Nothobranchius furzeri: one gene and its partners. The protein of the gene in region 1 interacts with the protein of each later gene in a pairwise test. Links are inferred from orthologs where the notes say so. Each region holds a gene or a part of one and is shown in the gene's direction. Other genes may lie near its edges.

Evidence for each region. The genes of interacting proteins can lie anywhere in the genome.
Region 2: the proteins of vimentin (region 1) and sirt6 interact in a two-hybrid assay, tested with the Homo sapiens proteins (2 studies listed by BioGRID and IntAct). The link is inferred for Nothobranchius furzeri from reciprocal best matches to the Homo sapiens genes VIM and SIRT6.
Region 3: the proteins of vimentin (region 1) and nod2 interact in binary tests that used the Homo sapiens proteins (3 or more experiments, as listed by UniProt). The link is inferred for Nothobranchius furzeri from reciprocal best matches to the Homo sapiens genes VIM and NOD2.
Region 4: the proteins of vimentin (region 1) and ess2 interact in a two-hybrid assay, tested with the Homo sapiens proteins (2 studies listed by BioGRID and IntAct). The link is inferred for Nothobranchius furzeri from reciprocal best matches to the Homo sapiens genes VIM and ESS2.
Region 5: the proteins of vimentin (region 1) and txlnbb interact in binary tests that used the Homo sapiens proteins (3 or more experiments, as listed by UniProt). The two-hybrid records come from large-scale screens. The link is inferred for Nothobranchius furzeri from reciprocal best matches to the Homo sapiens genes VIM and TXLNB.

Annotation. Positions count from the first base shown.
Region 1 is NC_091751.1:47,677,145-47,681,114, forward strand, and holds the start of vimentin, read left to right. Parts: upstream 1-1,159; 5' UTR 1,160-1,307; coding exon 1,308-1,837; intron 1,838-2,015; coding exon 2,016-2,076; intron 2,077-3,970. UniProt on the Homo sapiens protein: Vimentins are class-III intermediate filaments found in various non-epithelial cells, especially mesenchymal cells. Vimentin is attached to the nucleus, endoplasmic reticulum, and mitochondria, either laterally or terminally.
Region 2 is NC_091751.1:57,913,094-57,917,114, forward strand, and holds the start of sirt6 (NAD-dependent protein deacylase sirtuin-6), read left to right. Parts: upstream 1-1,213; 5' UTR 1,214-1,287; coding exon 1,288-1,353; intron 1,354-1,660; coding exon 1,661-1,788; intron 1,789-4,021. UniProt on the Homo sapiens protein: NAD-dependent protein deacetylase, deacylase and mono-ADP-ribosyltransferase that plays an essential role in DNA damage repair, telomere maintenance, metabolic homeostasis, inflammation, tumorigenesis and aging.
Region 3 is NC_091749.1:70,956,389-70,960,553, forward strand, and holds the start of nod2 (nucleotide-binding oligomerization domain-containing protein 2), read left to right. Parts: upstream 1-1,357; 5' UTR 1,358-1,493; coding exon 1,494-1,970; intron 1,971-3,012; coding exon 3,013-3,139; intron 3,140-4,165. UniProt on the Homo sapiens protein: Pattern recognition receptor (PRR) that detects bacterial peptidoglycan fragments and other danger signals and plays an important role in gastrointestinal immunity.
Region 4 is NC_091746.1:52,059,084-52,063,343, reverse strand, and holds the start of ess2 (splicing factor ESS-2 homolog), read left to right. Parts: upstream 1-1,452; 5' UTR 1,453-1,676; coding exon 1,677-1,820; intron 1,821-2,049; coding exon 2,050-2,218; intron 2,219-2,890; coding exon 2,891-2,974; intron 2,975-3,084; coding exon 3,085-3,254; intron 3,255-4,260. UniProt on the Homo sapiens protein: May be involved in pre-mRNA splicing.
Region 5 is NC_091758.1:20,072,791-20,077,031, reverse strand, and holds the start of txlnbb (taxilin beta b), read left to right. Parts: upstream 1-1,433; 5' UTR 1,434-1,556; intron 1,557-4,168; 5' UTR 4,169-4,207; coding exon 4,208-4,241. UniProt on the Homo sapiens protein: Promotes motor nerve regeneration. May be involved in intracellular vesicle traffic.

The DNA of each region.
Region 1 (3,970 bases):
CCATATTATGATTACATGGCCAACCAGAATTTGACATGTAAAGGGGTTTTACCAACCAACCTCAGATACACACCTCCCTCAGATACAGTAGCTCTGATTTGTGGATCAGAAAGCAATGTGTCATGAGATTACTTTAGTCATATGTATGAGTGTGTGCTTGTCAAGTCACGTACGTTGATTAAATATATGGGTCATATATTTCATTTCATCCTTATTAATCTAAGCACAGATTAAACAAAACATTTCATTTAACCACATTGTTTATTTCATTATGTGATTAATTAACTCATATGAGCTGAAAGTGTTCACTTTTATTCAGAGGCAGGAGGAATCCTGTAGAAGCGATAAGAGAAAGCTTAAGGCCTTGAAACGGGAACAGTTTTGTTTACAATATGTTATCCATGTGTTCAAAGCTGCAGAGGCCTGAACTTCAGCTGATAAAATAGCAGAATTCAGCAGATTAAAGACACTAGATGTAGACTCATGTCTCCATCTGACTGGATACTGAAGAGGTCAAACTGTGGATGAAAAACTGACCATTTCTGGACGTTACAATGGAAAACAAAAGATTTTTGGATATAGAAAATGCGACTGATTTTTAGCGGTCTCTTGTTTACTGTGGCAATGTGGGTTCTGGTATCAAGGGACTTGGCTTGGGGATGATAGCCAAGGGAGGGGTGAGCACTCCGTGACCATGTTTGTGTTTAAATTCTAGTTTGTTTTAGAGATTTGTTATTGCAGGTTTAAAGTGACAGAGCTCTCAAATGGCTCATTCTGGAAGGTACTGAAAATGTAAAGAATAATAGTAATCACTCCTTGTGAGAGAACATTATAAACCTGTTTTGTATTGACCACAGATCTATTATAACTATAAGTTAAAAAGTAATAATATGTCCCTTTATTGAGTTATTTTCCACTTATAAGGTATTTTTCAAAACTTTATTTAAATGTATTGAAATGTTAACCTCACCCACAAAACGCCTGTTAACTTTAATAGATTTTATTTAGAAGCTTAGACTCACCACTTCATATATCAAGTAATTGAGAAAAAGGGAGATTTTTTTTCCATCCAAAAGAGCTTTGTGACCTTTCTCAGTTTTGTTGTGCACCTTAGAAGGCATCTGGCCTCAGAAAGCCAAGTGTGTGTTCTGATCTAGGATTGGAGTCTGGGGGTGTCAGTCAAGTTCTACTTGGCGCTTTTTGCAGGAGGAGGGGGCTATAAATAAGTTCTGGAGAGGGAAACGCCTTTCTAGGGCACCGCTGATGCTGCAGAGGTGAGGTGGACACTCTCAACAGAACCCAGTAAGATGTCCTACAGACCAGCTCCTCATTCTTCCTACAAAAAGATGTTCGGAGGGGACCGAGCCACGGCCCGGACCAGCTACTCCAGCCGCCAGTTCTCCAGCCCGCTGCGCTCCTCTCGGGTCTCCTACGGGCTCTCCTCCGCTCCGACCACCGTTTACGCAATGAAGACGCAGAGGCTCCGGAGCAGCGCGGCCATGCCACGGCTGGCCTCCGAGAACCTGGACTTCTCCCTGTCCGACGCCATCAACAGCGAGTTCATGACGAACCGCACCAACGAGAAGGCGCAGATGCAGTCGCTCAACGACCGCTTCGCCAACTACATCGAGAAGGTGCGCTTCTTGGAGCAGCAGAACAAGATCCTGCTGGCGGAGCTGGAGCAGCTGCGGGGCAAAGGCACGTCCCGGGTCGGGGATCTCTACGAGGACGAGATGCGGGAGCTGCGGCGTCAGGTGGACCAGCTCACCAACGAGAAGGCCCGGGTGGAGGTCCACCGGGACAATCTGGCGGATGACATAGAGAGGCTGAGAGAGAAGTAGGCGTGGCACATGTGGCCATGATTTCCTTATTGTTATTATTCATTTCTGCAGCTGTTCAGATGAGTAAGAAGTAAAATCAAAGAAGACAAAACTGAAAAGAAGAAGCATGGAAGAAAGCTCCTGCTTATGCTAAATATAAAATAACAGCTTTCTCTGTGTTCTCCCCTCCTGCAGGCTGCAGGATGAAATCTCCCAGAGGGAAGAGGCAGAGGCAAACATGCAAAGTTTTAGACAGGTATGAGATAGAATGATGACTTCAGCTAGCTAAAAAATGTTTCTGTTTTGTTGCAAAATTGCTCAGCTTTAATCAATCAATCAATCAATCAATTAATCAATCAATCAATCAATCAATCAATCAATCAATCAATCAATCAATCAATCAATCAATCAATCAATCAATCAATCTTTATTTATATAGCAACTGCCTTTGCAGGAGGCCAATACGCTGAGCATATAATACACTTAAAACATGAAGTGTAAAAGCAGCATAAAAGCATTAAACCAAGTCACATAAAAGCCAAAGGATACAAATTAGTCTTCAAATGACTCTTAAAATCCTGTAATGATGGTTTAATATCAAATGGAAGCTCATTCCAAAAGAAGGAACCAAGACCAAGAAAGCCCGAACTCCTCTAGATCTGTACCTAGTATTTGGGACTGTCATGTGAGGGAGGAGATGGCAGACAATGTGTGGTGGAGAGTTCAGGAGGCAGGAGAGCAGGCACAGATGAAATAAAAATGGATTTAATAGTAAACGGGAGCGACAGGACAAAACGAGCACATGCACATACAATGATCCGACGAAGACTGGTACAAGGAGGGAGATATAAATACACAGGGAAATCAGGAAGAGCAGAGTAATGAGGGACAGGTGAGAACAATAAGGACTAATCAGGGCAGGAGAAAGACACAGTCAGGAAGGCAGGGGCAGAACATGACAGGGACAGTCAGTAGCGTAGAATTTGTGATGGGGTGTCTTTTTATTAGTTCTGCCAAATATGGTGGAGCATCACCATAAAAAGACCAGAAGATATAGCAGAGAACTTTAAACTTTGCCCGAAAATCTACAGGGAGCCAATGTAATGAGGCCAGCACAGGAGTGATGTGTGCCGACTTCCCTGTCAGAAATCTGGCTACAGAGTTGTGAACCAACTGCCCCCAGCTTCTCATAACTTTGACCCAAAATCCCCAAATCGATGACGCAAACCTCCAACTGTGCAGTGGAGTGCATCCCTTTTCTCTTTTAGGTAATCTGTCTAGTTTTGGCTCATGAGCCACAGAGGCAGGAATGCACCGCTCTGATGACACAACAGCAGGTTCCAGACATGATTCCGAACAGTTAAAGAGTGCCCTGGCCTGGCTGGTACAAAAGGCCAAGTTTGCTCTGCTCGATTGGAGTCTGACTGGTCTGATGTGGTTATCAGAGCGAGAAGACGGGCCACCGCGTGATCCGGCTGTCTCGTTCACATAAGAATTTCTCTTGTTATGGTTCTGTTCCCTGTCACTGGTTTTCCAGTTGATAGGTCATGTGAATAGAGTTATATGGCGGTTACTGTACACAAATAGGTCAAAAACATCACTTTGGTGAATAACTTAAACACATAAATACACATTTTGTTGATTTTATGTTTTTTCGGTGCAGATTTGGGCTTAAATCAGGTTGTTGTATGGCAGGAAGGAATTGCATGAGTGGTCTGCCTCCGTGGCAAACAGACAACAATGTTTGGCCAGCAGCCGGCTCCTGCTCAGTCAGGCAGACAGTCACTCTTCCAGCCTTTGGGCATGTTTTGGAACCCCTGCTGAATGGTCCACATTGTTTGTGGCATTAACACATGGGCAAAGCAGCTTCTGTTGCTGATACCTCAATCAACGGCCTGCCAACGCCCCGATGAAGCTGTGCACTGGCACAACAACAGGTTTGTTTCATTATGGGTTCTGTCTTCCAAAACAAAAGCTTCGTGCTTAATTAAGTGGAGGAATGAAATAATGACTAAACATTCCATCACTGTTGGAATTTTTAATTTCATTCAGAGAAACTAGAAGGAAATTTCACAATAAACATAAATTTAGCTTATAAATGGGCTTAAGGACCTTTTTAATTATGTGGTTTGAATGAGACCCTTTACTGA
Region 2 (4,021 bases), about 10 Mb from region 1:
CAGCTCCTCATATGAACATTCTTACTAAAACATGAAATTGATCTCTGCTGGGTTTTTATCTTGGATGTGTTTTTCTGTCACTCAGTGTGGGGTTGTGTTTTTTTGAATGAACTTGTTATTAAAGTTGTGTAATAATCAAGTTGTTGAAGGTTAGAGGGGCAGAACTAATTATTGATTAGAATTGTATTTCTCCTCAGCGTTGCTCTCTGAGCCGCCTGATGGACCCGAAGAACTAAAGCAGAGTGTAAATTAAATTTTAATACGCTTTGCCAGATGTTTCTCTTTTTGCTTTCTTGCAGGCCCTATGATTTTAGTTTTTCTTTGTTAGATGTTCGGCATGCACTGGAATAGGTAGTCTTGTGTCGGTGTGTACTACCGAGATCAAACTTCTTCAGCCCTACAACTGAAAATGAAATGTTAGCCCCCTTTATTGATTTATTTTTTTGTAAGAGTGGTTTTGATTTTGTTTTTAGAGTGTGTGGATGTCCTATGTGTAATTTTGTCTTCAGTAAGCATTATTGTTTTATTTACTTTAATTGGGACATCATATTGAATTACTCAGGATAAAATTATACGCGACAAAACAATTGAGACGAGCAACTCCTTTCCTCTTTCGGTGGTCTTCAGTGTCAGTTCACAGCTTCTACAGGAACCATAATCCAATATGCACACGTATGAATGATCACCATATGGTTTTACTTTTCTGTCTGTTTTTTTTTTCTCAAATATTTAAAAATGAAAAATAAAGATTAATTTGAAAGAAAAATGCATACTGTTTTTAAAGCTTGGAGTCATTTAAATGATTTTTTAAAAGTTGTTCTGCAGGTGAAGATGGAAGATTTTTGTTTAGTTTTAGTCTAAATGTAGTCATTTTACAGATATGTTTGAGAATAAATGTCCTTGTTTGTGGAATGTCTGATCAGGTTAAATCCCATTTTTAAAAGGCACCGAACCGTTTTGTTCTGTGGGATTTTTCAGTTTTTATTATCAGACTTTTTATTCTAATATATTCAGTTTCATTGTGTAATTTGGATTTAAATTTTTACTCAATTTCTAACAGCTGTACGGTCTAATCTAATCTCTACCACAAGTCTAAACTGGTCTGAACGAAGGTGGAGCGCACGTTGAGGTATTTTAATTCCTGAAGTTCTTGAATGCAGCATGTGTCGGCGCACAGTGATGTCGTCATTCAAACGAAGCACCCTAAACCTGGCTGGAAGAAATACGCAACAGATAAAACAAGAACAGTTTGTAAAACAAAGAAAAAAAAAATAAACAGTTACAGTCATGTCTGTGAACTACGCTGCAGGACTATCGCCTTACGCGGATAAGGGTGTTTGCGGTCTACCTGAGGTAACATTTAGGTGTTGTATCGCTCCGAGAGCTTTTCAAAGAGCTAGTTAAATTAGCAACGTAGCGTCGCTTTCATTGAGAATGCATTTTTGTTTGGTTCGTTTAAGAGTAATAATATAAAGACGGTGTTGTAGAGCAGACCGTCTGTGCTGTGTTAGCCTCTTTGTTATTTAACATAAACACTATGAAGCACGGTGGAGGATAGATGATGGTGTGTTCTTTTGTTGTTGCCACACATCTGGCACGGTTGTATACAATAGTCGCCCCCTTGCTAATTGTTTAATTGTGTGTTTTTGATCTGTGCCAGAGTTTTGATAATCCGGAGGAGCTAAAAGCAAAAGTGGAAGCCCTCGCTCAGCTGATTAAAGAATCTCAGTACTTGGTTGTCCACTCTGGAGCTGGAATTAGCACCTCAGCAGGCATCCCTGACTTCAGGTGAGAGACAATATGTTTGTTCCTGCTAATGATTAAAAGCATTCTAGCGGATTTTTCCATTTGATGTGATCACACACACCTGAATTCGGATCTTCCACTCATCAAAGTGGTACAGCTGGTCCTCATTTGGTAGATTTCTTAGCTTTTATTTTGTCTTTATGACTGTAAAAGAGTAAATCTTGGTTCTCATATGTGCAAACTAATTTTGAACAACTTAATCAGCTTATGATGGAAGATATGTATTGTTTATGTTTATGTATTTAGCAGACGCTTTTGTCCAAAGCGACTTACAAGTGATAATCGGCATGTTGCCCCTGAGGCTAACAACAACAATAACAACAACTTGACATCAATAATTGTATTGTATTGTGTTATTAAAGGTGTGGAACACTGGAAACCATTTTTTAAAATCGTATTTCTGATTACAATGGGTCACTCAGAGTTTTTCATGCAGGCTGAACATGAAAATAGTCTCCTACACCTATCTCCTGCATTGGCATCTGATAGAAAATAGATGGTGAAATGCTAGGTTTTTAAAAGCCTGACAGATCTACATTACACTGACTCTTAACATCCATGGACTCACCCACCATGGCTCACGATTTGGAAGGCCTAAGCCAAATTTATACTTTTCCATCTGCGTCAGTACGGAAACACGCAACACCATTATCCATTGTTGAGAGGGCTTTCCAACAGGCAGCCAAGGACGGACAGAGTCGAGCCCACTTTTCTAAACACAGCAGTAGCTCAGGAGGTAGAGCGTGTTGTCCAGTAATTGGAAGTTTGCAGGTTCAAGCCCCGCTCAGTTTGTCACTGTCATTGTGTCCTTGGGCAAGACACTTAACCTACCTTGCCTGCTTGTGGTGGTCAGAGGGATCGGTGACGCCAGTGCTCCACAGCCCCGCTTCTGTCAGTGCACCCCAGGGCATCTGTGGCTACATCGTAGCTCATCCCCACCAGTTTGTGAATGACTGATTGTGTTGTGAAATGCCTTGGGGGGGGGGGGGGGGGGGGGGGGGGGTTGTATGACCCTAAGAAGGCGCTATACAAATACAGGCCATTTACCATTTAAACATCTGTTGAACAAGACAAGAAACTACAAGCTTACCATACCATAGTTTGTTTATATAGCACATTTAAAACGCAGCATGGGAGCTGCCCAAAGTGCTGCACAGGCTGGACCAAATCACGACCCATCAAAGCAGCAACAACAGAGGATAAAAATGCCGATCAATAAAAGCAAATAAAACATGAGGAATACTAAGAACACATCAAAACAATAATACAATAAAACAAAACGACTCACGGCGTAAAAGCCAAATCGTAGAAGTGGGTGTTTAAACGAGATTTAAAAACCGCCAATGATGGAGCCTGTCGAACTGTAATAGGTAGAGTTTCACAGCTTTGGGGCAGCATGTACAAATGCTCGTTCACCCCATGATTTGTAACGCATCGGGGGAGTGCAAAGCAGCAGGAGGCCAGCCGACCTCAACGTGCGCGTGGGTACATAGGGAGTGAGCAGGTCAGAGAGATTAGGAGGTGACAGGTCGTTCAATTCAAGTTTATTTATATAGCGCCAAATCACGACAAGAGTCTTCTCAAGGCACTTCACATAATAAACATTCCAATTCAGGTCAGTTCATTAAGCCAATCAGAAATAATGTTTCCTATATAAGGAACCCAGCAAATTGCATCAAGTCACTGACTAGTGACTTTACAGCAATCCTCATAATAAGCAAGCATAAAGCGACAGTGGAGAGGAAAACTCCCTTTTAACAGGAAGAAACCTCCAGAGAATCCTGGCTCAGTATAACACACACACACACACACACACACACACACACACACACACACACACACACACACACACACACACAGACAGACAGACAGTAATGTGTCTATAGTTACATTGTGATTTCTTAGTAAATATTCTATTTGGTGAGAGATAAACTTTATTGTATTTATCCTAGTGGATCTATAATTAAACGGATAAACTAGCAGTAGCACATCCAACGTCAAGGAAAGCAAAACGTTATTATCAGGAGAGGGAGAATGTTTGAGTGGTTAGCAGCATTGTGCTAGACGATGGCCCCCTCCATGAGGCCACCACAGCTCAGCAGAACATCATTGTAGCTTCTTCTTCGTTGAGTGCTTTAAAGACAAAAATCAATACCTTAAACTGTACTCGGAAAATGACAGGGTGCCAGTGAAGATGTGTCAGGACTGGGGTAAT
Region 3 (4,165 bases), on another chromosome or scaffold:
AAACTACACATTGTCTCTTTAAGATCCTCCTTCTCACATATAAAGCTCTCAATAATCAAGCTCCATCATACATCAGTAACCTGATTGTTCCATATGTTCCTAACACGGGCAACAACCTAATGGAGCGACGGTGGCACAGGAGTTAAGTGCTTGCTCTGTAAATGGAAGGTTGCAGGTTCGAGCCCCGCTCAGTCTGTCGCGGTCGTTGTCTCCTTGGGCAAGACACTTAACCCACCTTGCCTGCTGGTGGTGTTCGGAGGGACCGGTGGCGCCTACGTACAACAGACTCACCTCTGTCAGTGCGCCCCAGGGCAGCTGTGGCTACAATGTAGCTCATCAACACCAGTGTGTGAATGTGTGTGTGAATGGGTGAATAACTGATTGTGTTTTAAAGCACCTTGGGGGGTTCCAGGAATCTAGAAGGTGCTATATCAAATACAGGCCATTTACTATAACAGAGCACTTATATTTTTAATTAAAATATAGCTTTTAAAGGAAATATTGTATCTTCATTCTGCACACCTCTAAACGCCCCGTGGAGGTATTATTAAAACAATGTATAGCTTTTTATGAAATTGCTCCATATTCAACCTTTAATGTACAAACTACTCAAATAAATAAAATAACATAAAAATACAAGTAAAAAACAATTGAGTAAAAAAATAAAGCTAGTGAAAAACTGAGTAAATGTTTGACCACAACGGCTGATTTAATTTATCCACTTTTTAAATCAGATAAATACATGTTTTAAATGATATGTTAACTTATTATTAGATAGTTTTAGGGGCAAAATTGAAGATAAGTAAAATGTAATAACCGCACTTTAAGATGACAAATGAGCCCACAGGGGCGTAGATTTGGCATCCAGCGATGACCAAATTCTCCCCACCATTAGTCTGACTGCCAACGTTAAAAAAAACCAACAAGCCAGAGGAGCAGAAAGGGTTAAAGGACCTACCTCTGTGTTGCACATGGCCAGGATGAGATGTAGGTTTATCAAGTCCCCACAAGCAGATGAGCTCGAGCCTCCTGGTTTGGTTTTTGTTGTGGAACACCGCCATCTAGTGGCTCCAACACCAAGTTACAAGTGGTTTAGATCTGTGTTTTACTTTTGATTTCCCTGAAACACATTAGTGTTGGTTTGTTTAAACATTTTAAACAATATCCTGTCAAATCAAATTCATGAGGATGCTTAAGCTTTATGGTAGTTCAGCCATTGTTTACTTTCTGCTCCACTGGAGCTGCTTGGCAAACAGACCAGGTTTCGGTTTTTAGACGAGGAATGAGGAAGAGGTGGTTGAACGGTCCTTTTGGGTTGATGAGGGCTGGAGAGAAGGCAGTCAGTCGCTTTGTGTTTACAGGTGAGAGCGAGTCTTCTAGTCTGTTGAAGGGGGACACTAGAGGAAATCTGATTTCTGTGCTTTCCTGATGGACTGGTTGGTACCAGATGTGAAGCTGAAGGATTGAAGCATGGGAGCTGATAAGACTGAAGCATGCTTGCTCAGGAGCTGCTGCTGAAACAGCGTTCAGAGGTTCTCCACGCCCTCTGCAGGAGCGGCTCAGCTGAGCACCTGGAAAGGGTTCTGGACGTGCTGCTGGCTCAGGGGGAGCTGGGATGGGAGGACTACCAGAGCATTCAAGTCCCGGGGAGGGCCCTGCACACCAACGCCAGGCAGCTGCTCGACCTGCTTTATACAAAAGGTGAGGAAGCCTGCAGAATCTTCTTCGCTGCTGTCAATCAGGTCTTTCCAGAAGGCCAAAGAGTTGGCCTGTCCTCAGGATGTCCCCCACCTTTAGAGGACAGAGTTCAGAAGACGTCTGCAGAGACAGTTCTAATACAACGGCTGAGTTTGGTCTGCAAGCTTCAGGACTGTGTGGATGGTGCTCTGGAAGCTCTCCTGGAATCAGGTCACTTTTCCTCAGAGGAACGAGATGAGGTCCTGCTGCCTGTTCACACCCCGTCTCAACAGGTAAAAAAGGCATTTGTAAACACATCTCCTCCATTTTGTGCTCTTTTGTCACTTACTGTTTTTGATTGACGGAGGTAGCTGGTGCAGAATACGGTTTCCAAGACGACTGGATTCATATAAGTAGGACATATCGTAATATGACTAAACTCACCTTTGTGCCACCACCTATAAACACTCCAAACCTGAAAGTGCCCGTCCATCTGTCGGGGTTTGGCTTCAGGGAGTATTTGCGAAATATAAACGGTTTGAAAAAGTCCCTGTTTGTGATGTCATAATAAGGGAATCGCTGATTGACGCAGACATCAAAGGTCAAATGTCCATCAGCAGGATACCAGAGAACCAAATTCATGATTCCATCAGTTACAACCAGTCGTCAAGAATCCCCAAAAGGGTTTAAATGTTGTTCTGGGTTCTTATGTTCTTGGATTTCTAGAACAGGTCATGATGTTGGCTTTTTGAGATCTTTTAGCCTTCTTTGTGGTGTCAGGCAGCTTCTTTTGAAGGGATTTGAAAACTTGTTTTGTGAAACATAGTTTCACCCTTATGTCATCATGTCCTTATTTGGGCTGTACCAACTTCCTGTTTAGTCCACTCTAAGATGCTAGTTTGGAGCTTTAGAGCTCTGCGTGGACGAGAACGTCCACATCTCCAGCAGGTCCCTGGGGTTGTTCCATCTGGGTCTGATGGAAATTAGGGTTCTCCCTCTGATCCTGAGCCTGTGGCTTCTTTTTAACATTCATTCTGACCCGTTTTTTTTAGGTATGAAGTGATTTATCTGGAAAGCTTTGGTGTAAAAAGCCATAAACCCGCAGACGGGTCAGACATGTGACTGAAGGATAGAGGAGATTTTAGTACAGCGACTGCTAAATTAGGGTTTTACTTCTGCACATCACCTCGTTTCCTCCACAGCTTCCTGTCTGAAGCTCTAATCGGGTGCGCCGAGCCGTTTCCTGTGCAGTTATCTCCTCTAAAATGTGAATTTAAAAAGTGGAACTGCTGCTTTCGGCCTCGGGTAAATTTGTTCTCGTTCAAACCCAACCAGGCCCGGCGTTTGCTCGATCACGTCGGATCCAAAGGGGAGTCTGCGGCGTCAGCTCTTCTTCAGTTCATCCAGCGAAGACAGGAATCTGGATCCCAGCAGAACCAGAGGGAACTGGAAATCCCTAAAGGTATCGTGTCTTCCGGGTCAAAAGTCTGCCAGTCCACCTCAGCACCAAAATACTCTAAAACTATTAAAGGTATTGGTCCACCAGACCGATATGTTGGTTGATTTGTCCATTGATTCATATTTTATTTATTCTGAAGTGTAGAAATGTACAAATATTAGCTAAAGAGGTTCCTGAACAGCCTCAGTGGGGAGAAATAGGGTTACATGGTGGCACAGGAGTTAAGTGCTCGCCCCGTAATCGGAAGGTTGCAGGTTCGAGTCCCGCTCAGTCTGTCGCTGTCGTTGTGTCCTTGGGCAAGACACTTAACCCACGTTGCCTGCTGGTGGTGGTCGGAGGGACTGGTGGCGCCAGTGCTCGGCAGCCTCGCCTCTGTCAGTGCGCCCCAGGGCAGCTGTGGCTACATTGTAGCTCATCCCCACCAGTGTGTGAATGTGTGTGTGAATGGGTGAATGACTGATTGTGTTGTAAAGCGCCTTGGGGGGTTCCAGGACTCTAGAAGGCGCTATATCAAATACGGGCCATTTACCATTTACCATTTACATCCTACAGCTCTGGTTCTCAGGACCTCGTTGTTCAATGAGTTTGGAAATTAAGGATGATCCAGAACTTTGGTAAACAGGAAAATTATTTTTATTATAATTGATATAATTGATAATTGATAAAGGCTAAATTTAAATATTAATAATAATGCATTGAACTTAAATAGCTCTTTTCTAGACACCCAAAGACGCTTTCACACACTCTCACATTCACACACTGCTAGTGATGGTAAGCTACTTGTAGCCACAGCCGCCCTGGGGAGGTCTGACAGAGGCGAGGCTGCCATTTGGCGCCGTCGGCCCCTCTGACCACCACTAACACAGGCATGTTGGGTGAAGTGTCTTGCCCAAGGACACAACAGCAGGATTCCCCTGGCGGGAGCTGGAATCGAACCCACGACCCTCCGATCATGAGGCAACCCGCTCTACCACCTGAGCTACAGCTGCCCCAAATATTAGCTATTGACTAGTAGAACAGTCCAAGTAG
Region 4 (4,260 bases), on another chromosome or scaffold:
AAGTTTTAAGAGGAAATTCTGAAATAGGCTATAGCTATTCGTATGTTTATTTTGAAAATTCTAAGTAATTTTACTGGAACGTTGGAACAATGAAAACACATTAAAACCAAATCAATCCTGCATGCAAAAAAAAAAATAAAAATAAAAATAAAAACCTAATTATTATAAATATGTTTTTTTAATTAAAGAAAATCATCTTTTATTTAGCATCTCTCAAGATAAAAACTCACGAGGTGCTTCACAACAACAGAAAATTCAAAATACAAAAAAAACTTAAAAAATTATTTAAAAACATGGTTAAAATTAGAAGAAAAACATAAAAAACAGATTTGTGATTTAAATGTGCAAGGAAAGGGAAAAAGAAAATGAATAGGAAAGAGGGAAATCAGTGGATCCCGGATAAGGCGTAATTGGTTTAGAGCAGAACAAGGAGAAGGTGATGATGAAGGTCACACCAAAACCAGCTTGAACAGGTGAGTTTTCAGCTGCTTTTTAAAGGAGACCACTGAGTCCACTGATCTCAGGCTCAGAGAGAGAGTCTGGGGGCCACAGCAGCAAATGATCTGTCACCTTTGGTCTTAATTAAAGTATCAATACCTGATGACTCCTGGAGCATCATTAATATTTACCTCATTAAAACATTGTCTTTTAACATTTGATGAGTGTCATTTTTGTTTGAGCCACTTGATTTTTTTATTTATTTGCTTGATAAAAATCCTTATGAAATGTGATAAGAGCAAGATGATCATTAAAACAAACGGATTGAAAAGCTTTTTATTGTTTCTTTATTAATAAACTCACCAGTGCGTTAAATCAAAAATCCATCATGTAAATTCATTCTAAAACATTTTACTACGTTTTAATTAACTTGGGCAATAATAATAATACATTCTGATAAGTTGGGATGCTGAGTTGCTGATAAATTTGAACAGTTTAAACTGTTTTAATGTTTTTCATTTGTTATTCATTCTGTCAGTTTGTTTGTTTGTTTTTGGTCAAATATCTTCATTATCAGAAAAGCTTATCATCATAAATATTCACACATAATTATATGAATACTGTCTGAGTATGTTTGCATCAAACTGGAGAAGTGGAGCAGGTATGTGAGAGAAATGTTGAATAAAAGAATAAAAAAAATTTGAAAGAGTAAGTAAAATGAACACAACGGTTTGGTTTAAGGATTCAGAACATAACTTTATGTAGACTTTTAAAAATCAGTTTTTGTTTTCGGATGCTGAAAAAGACCCGAGGAAAGATTGTCATTCTAAGTGAAAAGACTACGATGGGATCATGCATCTCTTAATGTAAAATTCCAGGTTTTTGTCTTGTAGATTTGTGATATAACTGATAGTATCATTTATATTCAGAATATTTTCATAAGCCTTTTATACTGGAAATTAGTTTAGAACAATAACTTCCGGTGACGTACTCGCTTAAATTGCGTAAGAAGAACGTTTTGTGTTGTGCGTTGGTGTTGTGGCTAAAAGTCAGCCTCTAAACCATATATATATATAGCGCCATTCCCACCGTGTGAAATTATTTAAAACCTCGGTTACGTTTTTAACGGTATTTATTAAGTGAAAAATCGTTCTCAGTTTTTTTTCTGAGATTATTTTCTCGTTATTCTCGTGACTCGTCTCTAGCCTGAAGGCTAACGCTAACTCTCAGGCTCCACAATGGAGGGTAGCAGTAGCGTGAGGAGAGCACTGTCCGGGACTCTCGTACCTCCAGCCGTCACGACAGTCGCTGTCAGTCATCCCGAGAACAAGGAGAAGGACACGTTGAAGAGAAAAATTCTCGATGAAGAGGAATACATTCAGGTAAGGGACTTGAAACAATATGAGTTTAGGCTCCAGTTAAAAACGGCCCATTTGCTAATAAGGCTAACCAAAATTATTTCGACTGTTGCTTGTTTTATTTTGTTATGGTAAATGATATTATGAAGGTTTAATCATAGTTGTTAGTACAGTGACAGTTTGGTGGATAATTATATTGGTAATAAAACGCTTCCTTCTGCTGTTAATTTATTCATGTTTGGTCTCTTGACAGAGCTTGGAGAAAATAATCCAGAGGGACTTCTTTCCAGATGTCACTAAACTACAAGCGCAGAAGGACTACCTGGAAGCAGAGGAAAATGGAGATCTTGAGAGAATGAGAGACATATCAATCAGATATGGATCATCCTTGACCAAGTCTACCCCACGAACGTCCGTACCTTGTGAGTAGAAACAAAATAATAACTGTTGGGATTCAACACACCTCGTTTATGTTTATTTAGCAGATGCTTTTGTCCAAAGCGACTTACAGGTGGTAATCAAGCCAGCAGGTTGCCCTCGAGGCTAACAACAAACACTATTCAGTCAATCTTGGCAGACAGGCAGCATAACCAATCAAAGAGGGAAGCGAACATGGAGTGTGCAGTAGAGTGGGGGACGGGTGCTGGGAGGGTGCTAGATTAGAAGATGCTCTCTTGAAGAACTGGGTCTTCAGGATTTTCTTGAAAATCGACAAGGAAGCCCCTGTTCTAGTAGTGCTTGGTAGGTAATTCCACATCTGTTGAACAATACATGAAAAGAGAGCATGGTGTAGGTACTGCTAGCCGACGATCCTTCGATGACCGGAGTGGCCGGGCCGTGACATAAGCCTTTGCAAGAGGATTCAGGTAGATGGGAGCTGTACCATCCAGGACTTTGTATGCTAGTGCTAGCGATTTGAATTTTATGCATGCAGCTAGAGGTAGCTAATGGAGATCAATGAATAGAGGGGTGACATGCTCTTTTAGGCTAACTGAAGACCAGATGCGCAGAAAACTGCTTCTTCGTTTTCTCTGCTCACTCTAAAGTAAATATTGATTGTATTGTTGCTGTGTTTTTACTTTTTTATGTGCAAGATGTGACTCCTGCCAGCTTTGAGACACCAGTGGGTCACCCAGGATCTCCCTCTACAACTTACAGTAGTAAAGGTTTAGATGCTGGTAAGTTATAGTAAAAAAAAAGTTTTTACTCTCTTTTTTGTTATAAGAATAGACATGTACACATTGAACTGCAATTAATCGTATTTTAAAAACAAATTATTTATTCATAGAAAAAAAGAACAATGACCAGGAAGAGAAAACCCTGCCCAGTTTAGACCGTTTTCTTGCTAAAAATACCAGTGAGGACAACGCATCCTTTGAGCAGATAATGGATCTGGCAGAAGACAAGGAGAAGCTGAAGCATGCCTGGTTATATGAAGCAGAAGAGGAATTTAAACAGGTTTGTCCTAAGAAGCTTATATTTAGTAAAAATGTCTTGATCACAAAATATCTCAAACTATGACTTTGATGGACCTGTTGATGGTTGCCATGGTAATTTTCTTCTCAAATTAACATTTGAATATCTCATAAAATAATATGTAACTAAAACACATGAAAAATATCAGAGAAATATGTTAAAATAAAGCAAAGCTGTTAAACTGAATTAATTTAAATTCCCTTCTGCACATTAAATTACCTTACATACCTCCTCCCATCAAGTAACGCTGCCACTGTAACAAACAGGGTTTAGCTAATTAACATGAACCCTCTAGGGTCATTGGAGGAGTCTGATTTGAGTAAAAGGGTTAGGGTTAGATCTTAGCGGTTGTTTGATTGAACATCGTTTCTCCAGTTTTACCCTGACCCACGTTGGGTCTCAAAACACTAAATTAAACTCAAATAAAACTTTCAAACAATGATCAAATAAGATATTTCCAAGCTATTTTTGTAAAATATGAATCATAAGCATATAAAAGTGGTATGAGTTGAAGTTGTTTGTGTTCCAATTATGTTCTTGAATATTTGGCCTTTTAATTGTTTTTGTCTTGTTCAGCCATCAACATTTGGGGTCACAAGTTATTATTTTGGGGGTCAGAAGGTTGAAAATCTAATAATTTTACACATAAATCATCTCACTGCTAGATTCAACCGAAGTATTTTGTTGTGTACTATTTTATGACACATCCTGTTACTTTACTAGATGTCCTACAGCAGGATGGAAAGGACCTTGGATCTTTGATTCTTGTTTCCAGTAAATATTAGTGAGAAAAACACAGCTGCTGTCTGGGTTGTTTTGTTGGTTGGGTGTGTTGTGTTGTGTTTATTAGCTAACAAATGACATTAGCTAAAATGATAATCTAGTTGTCATTTAACTTTTGATTAGGTAATAAACAAACCAAGTTTTAGATGATGTGGAGCTTTTGGGTGGTTGTAATTTGGACAAAACCTTGCAATTAGTGATGCAC
Region 5 (4,241 bases), on another chromosome or scaffold:
TGTTGTTGTTTTGGAGCAGGCACAGCTAACAGCTAGCCTAGCCTAGCGAACTGGAAATCCCTTTCAAACTATAAATTTACAAATATTTAGTAGGAAAATACATTATAATAAACACAGATTTGCTTTGTGTTATTACAATTTTAACAAATAGGTACTGAAACAAAAACTGAACATAAGTGAACGGGGCTGTCAAAGTTATTTCCTGGTCCGCTTTAGCTTACGCACTGAATCACAAATATGTTTTACTTCAATTTAAATGATAAATAATTATGTGTTTTGACTATGTCTGTCACGTAATTTGAGATTTATTTGCTTAAAAAAGTCATAAATAAAAAAATTACAAAGCAGAAGTTGCAAACTTGCAAATATGACGTCGGCGCAGAATCTCATCTCCCTAGCGTAGCTGCTACTTTGCACGTGGCCAGATTTATAACCTTAACTCTGAAAACATATTTTTTATTATTATTTCTGATCAGTCACTAAGTTATGCTGGCTGAACATGAAAATAGTCTCCCACACATATGTCCTGCTATGGTGAAACAAGGATTAGAAAAGCCAGTCAGTGTTAGAGGTGCGTTGCTGTTAAGTAATCTGAGGTAAAATGTCCAAATGTCAGAAAATAAGACAGCTGTGATGAGGCTCACTTTTGGTTCCTGGAAATGCACCGGTGCCCCCCCCCCCCCCCCCCCCCCCCCAAAAGATGATTTCAATTTTAGATATGGTATATTTATTTCCCCACGTTTAGAAAATGGATTCCTACATCAAAGAATTAAATTAGACATTGGGCCCTGTCAACAGATATTAATCTCATATAATCAGAAGGAGGAGAATTTTTTGTGGTCTGTTTATTACTTTTTACAACGTGAAATATAATTATTGAGAGTAATATTCAGTTTCAATGGTGCTGAGCTGGATAATGATGCTGGATTATCTCCCTCCCCAACTACATCGGTCTCTCATTATCATTCCACCTGTGCGGTTCACAACTGTTTAAATTAGAGCCCATCATTCACTTTCTGTCTTTAGGGAGGCAGAAAAAAAATATCTCCAGTGTGAAACTTGTAATAGCTACATCTGGTGGCGAAAATTGAATACTGCAGCTGCAGCGTGGAGGTAAAATAAAATGGGTGCTTCCAAAAGTAGTGTTCACCTTGTAGATAGTTTTCAGCCGCTTTCAGAATTTAACTGTCAGCTCAAAATCAGCAGATTGTGTAAAAAAATAAAAAAAACTGAAAGAAAGGCTTATCAGGCCAGTCTGAGAAACAGCGTTTTCTCTTCTCTCCTGCTCAGTCTCTTTTCATGACTAATAGGAGCGAAGCTTAAAATTAAATCAGCACTGCGTTGATCTAAAGTAGCAAAGGTGCAACACCAAATAACGAGTTTTACTCTGAGGTTTGCAGCAGAGATGAGCTGCAGAGCGTCCTCCCTCTCTGAGCAGTGAGCTGCTCTCTCCTGGTTTATTTTGAGGGGCTCTTATCACAGCTGTTGCATCAGTGGTGGCCGCCTGTCCGAGCCCCTCCACACTCTTTCTGTTCCCCATCTGGCCCTCAGTCCTGGTAAGACCCTGCCTGCTCTTTACCCTGCTTCTTTTCTGATATTTGCACACAAATAACATAGAATTCTTGGTTTCCTAACATCTGTCTCACACGTCTAACAAACGTGGGACTGACTCCAGTGGCGGTTTGGAGTTTGCCAAGTCTGTTGAAGATGAGATGCTGTTAATTGCAGTGAGACTTTCCTGCGTCATTTGCTGTCAGAAGTTAAAATTGTCTGCTGGTGAGAGAAAAGGGAACATTTTAACCTCTAATGAAACGCTGCATAGTTAAAAGAGTTTTCCTACACATAGCTCTGTAAAATTTCCATTTTAACATGTACTTCTTTATAAAAGCGTTAAAAGATCAGAGATATTTGTCTTTATTTGAAGTTTAACCACAATAAAAAGATGTTTTCAAGAAACACTGACCCTGACATAAAAAAAGAGTGGAATAGAATTAAATAATAAACAACATGCCCATATTAAGAAGTTCCTAAAATAGCTTGTGGGTCTGGAACAGGTGCCATTTGCTCTTCTTGTGAAAGCTAATTATATGCATCTAAACAGGCTCTGGCTGCGAGTACGACTCCACAGATACAAGCATGATGGACTTTACTACACCAGGAAAGCTTTGTTCGGGTTTATCACCTCGCTGCTGCAAAGACATTGAAATTCATATAAAAAAAAGGCATTCAGATATTTCATCTAGAGCATTATTTGGTGCGTATTTCTGTTTCTGCAAAAGAAATGTGCACCAAAGTTATGTTTTTAGTCTAATAAACAAAAACAACTTCAGCAGCATAGAATATTTAAATAAGAAAAGCTTCTTGGTGGTGGAATCTGCTTAATTCTGATTAATCTGTTATGATTTCACTCAACAATATGTATGTGAAATCTCCAACCAGTTTTCTCTGTAAATCTTGTTAGGATCTGCAAGGTGCTCAAATGGAGGAAAAACACTTGATATGAGGTTTTTAGACTGAATTTCAAGGTGTTGATTTTAATGTCAGGTTACATAGTTGAAGATTTCTTTATCATTTAAGTGCTGCTAATTTAGGCATCAAACACACAAAAATTCAGGCTGTAAATGTACTCGTTGTTGCTCTTAAACATCACAGGTTTGGATACTGTAGCTGTTGTGGATAGCACTGAACAACCTCAGTTTGGAGAAGCAGAGATGAGTTCTGACTGGACAAATGCTGATCTCAGTGGGGCAAGTCACAGACTGATTAGGAATATCTCAAAAGCCTCACAGTAGTTAGTGTGAATTAACTACATAAGACTCTGGTGGTTTGCAGCAGAAACTAGCTGCTTTAGCATTTCTGAAATTAAATGCTTAAAAGGCTACGGTAGACCAGCTTGTTTGTCATACCAGAGATAATTTCTGTTCCTCTTAAAGCCAGGCGTTCTCATGTGAGAATCTTTGAGGTTGAGGCGAGTTTGGTGTTGTGTGTCCAGTAGTATACAGGGATTACGAGAGGCGATTAGCACCGCACGACCAGCTCCCAATCAGTAATTGCACAAATATCAAACATGTTTGATATTTTCCTCATCCCTCGTGAGGTTATCACACTGTTGGAACAGCGCTGCGAGCCAAAAGTACCAGAACTGCTCACACAGCGCATGCACCAACACGGCTCGTCAGCTATTTTCGTATCAACTCAAGCTGTATTACTTATTTTTATACTTTTCTCTACACACAGTGACAAGGATTGTCAAGAAAGTGTGTTTTATGCCAAATAAAACATTGTTTTACTTCCTTTCTTTTGTCTTCCTTCTCAAACCCCCATAAACCCCATGTTGTCCTTCTATGGCAAGCCCGAAGGATAACACACATTAATAACATAGTTTGAATATGTTCATTTTTCCAAATAAATGCTGAAAAAAAACCCACCAGTAACAACACAACAGGTTTTAGAAATCGAAAGTCTGACATGTTGCGTAAAAACGACTATTTGTAGCATATTTTAGCTCCGATGTGTTGCTAGCACACATACAGTGTGAACAGTACAGTGAGAGAACATGTGAGCTTTGCTCTGCGAGGAAGTCATCCAGTTTGAGATGGAGCTGAATGCTACGAGTGAAAGCCACACAATGTCCACCCGTCCTAACTGATGTTGTCCAAAAGGCTTTATGGAGGATGTAAGATATTCATTGCTTTTGGCCTTTTAAGAGAAACACTTCAAAAAGCGGAACCCCCGCTTTTATGATCTTTTATGGTTTTCTTTCCAGTAAACCACTTTTAAAGTGGCCTAAATTGTACAAATAAATCAGATGTGGCTACACAAACTAATTGTCACGGTGTAGGAGGTGGAGATGATGGACCGCTAATTAGGGAAACATGGGCAGGTAAACGAGGGACAGGTGAGAACAATAAGGGCAATCACGGCAGGAGAGGAACACAGTCAGGTTGGGCAGGGGCAGATCGTGACACTAATATTAAAAAATCCTAACATGTTTTTTGTTTGTAATGGGGAGACTGTTTCTATAAAACCTCAGATATGATGTTTAATTCAACGATGAAAACAGATTTTTTTTTATGTGAAAAAGTGATCAAAGCATTTTTGTTGTGAGATAACAGACAGAGCAGCCGTGATCTGTCTGTAAATGATTTATTTTTGGTCTCTCGTGCAGAGGCAACTGTCTCCTTTGTGTTGCTACTAGCTCAGAATAATGGAGGCTTGTCAGGAGAGCAGCACTGCCCCCA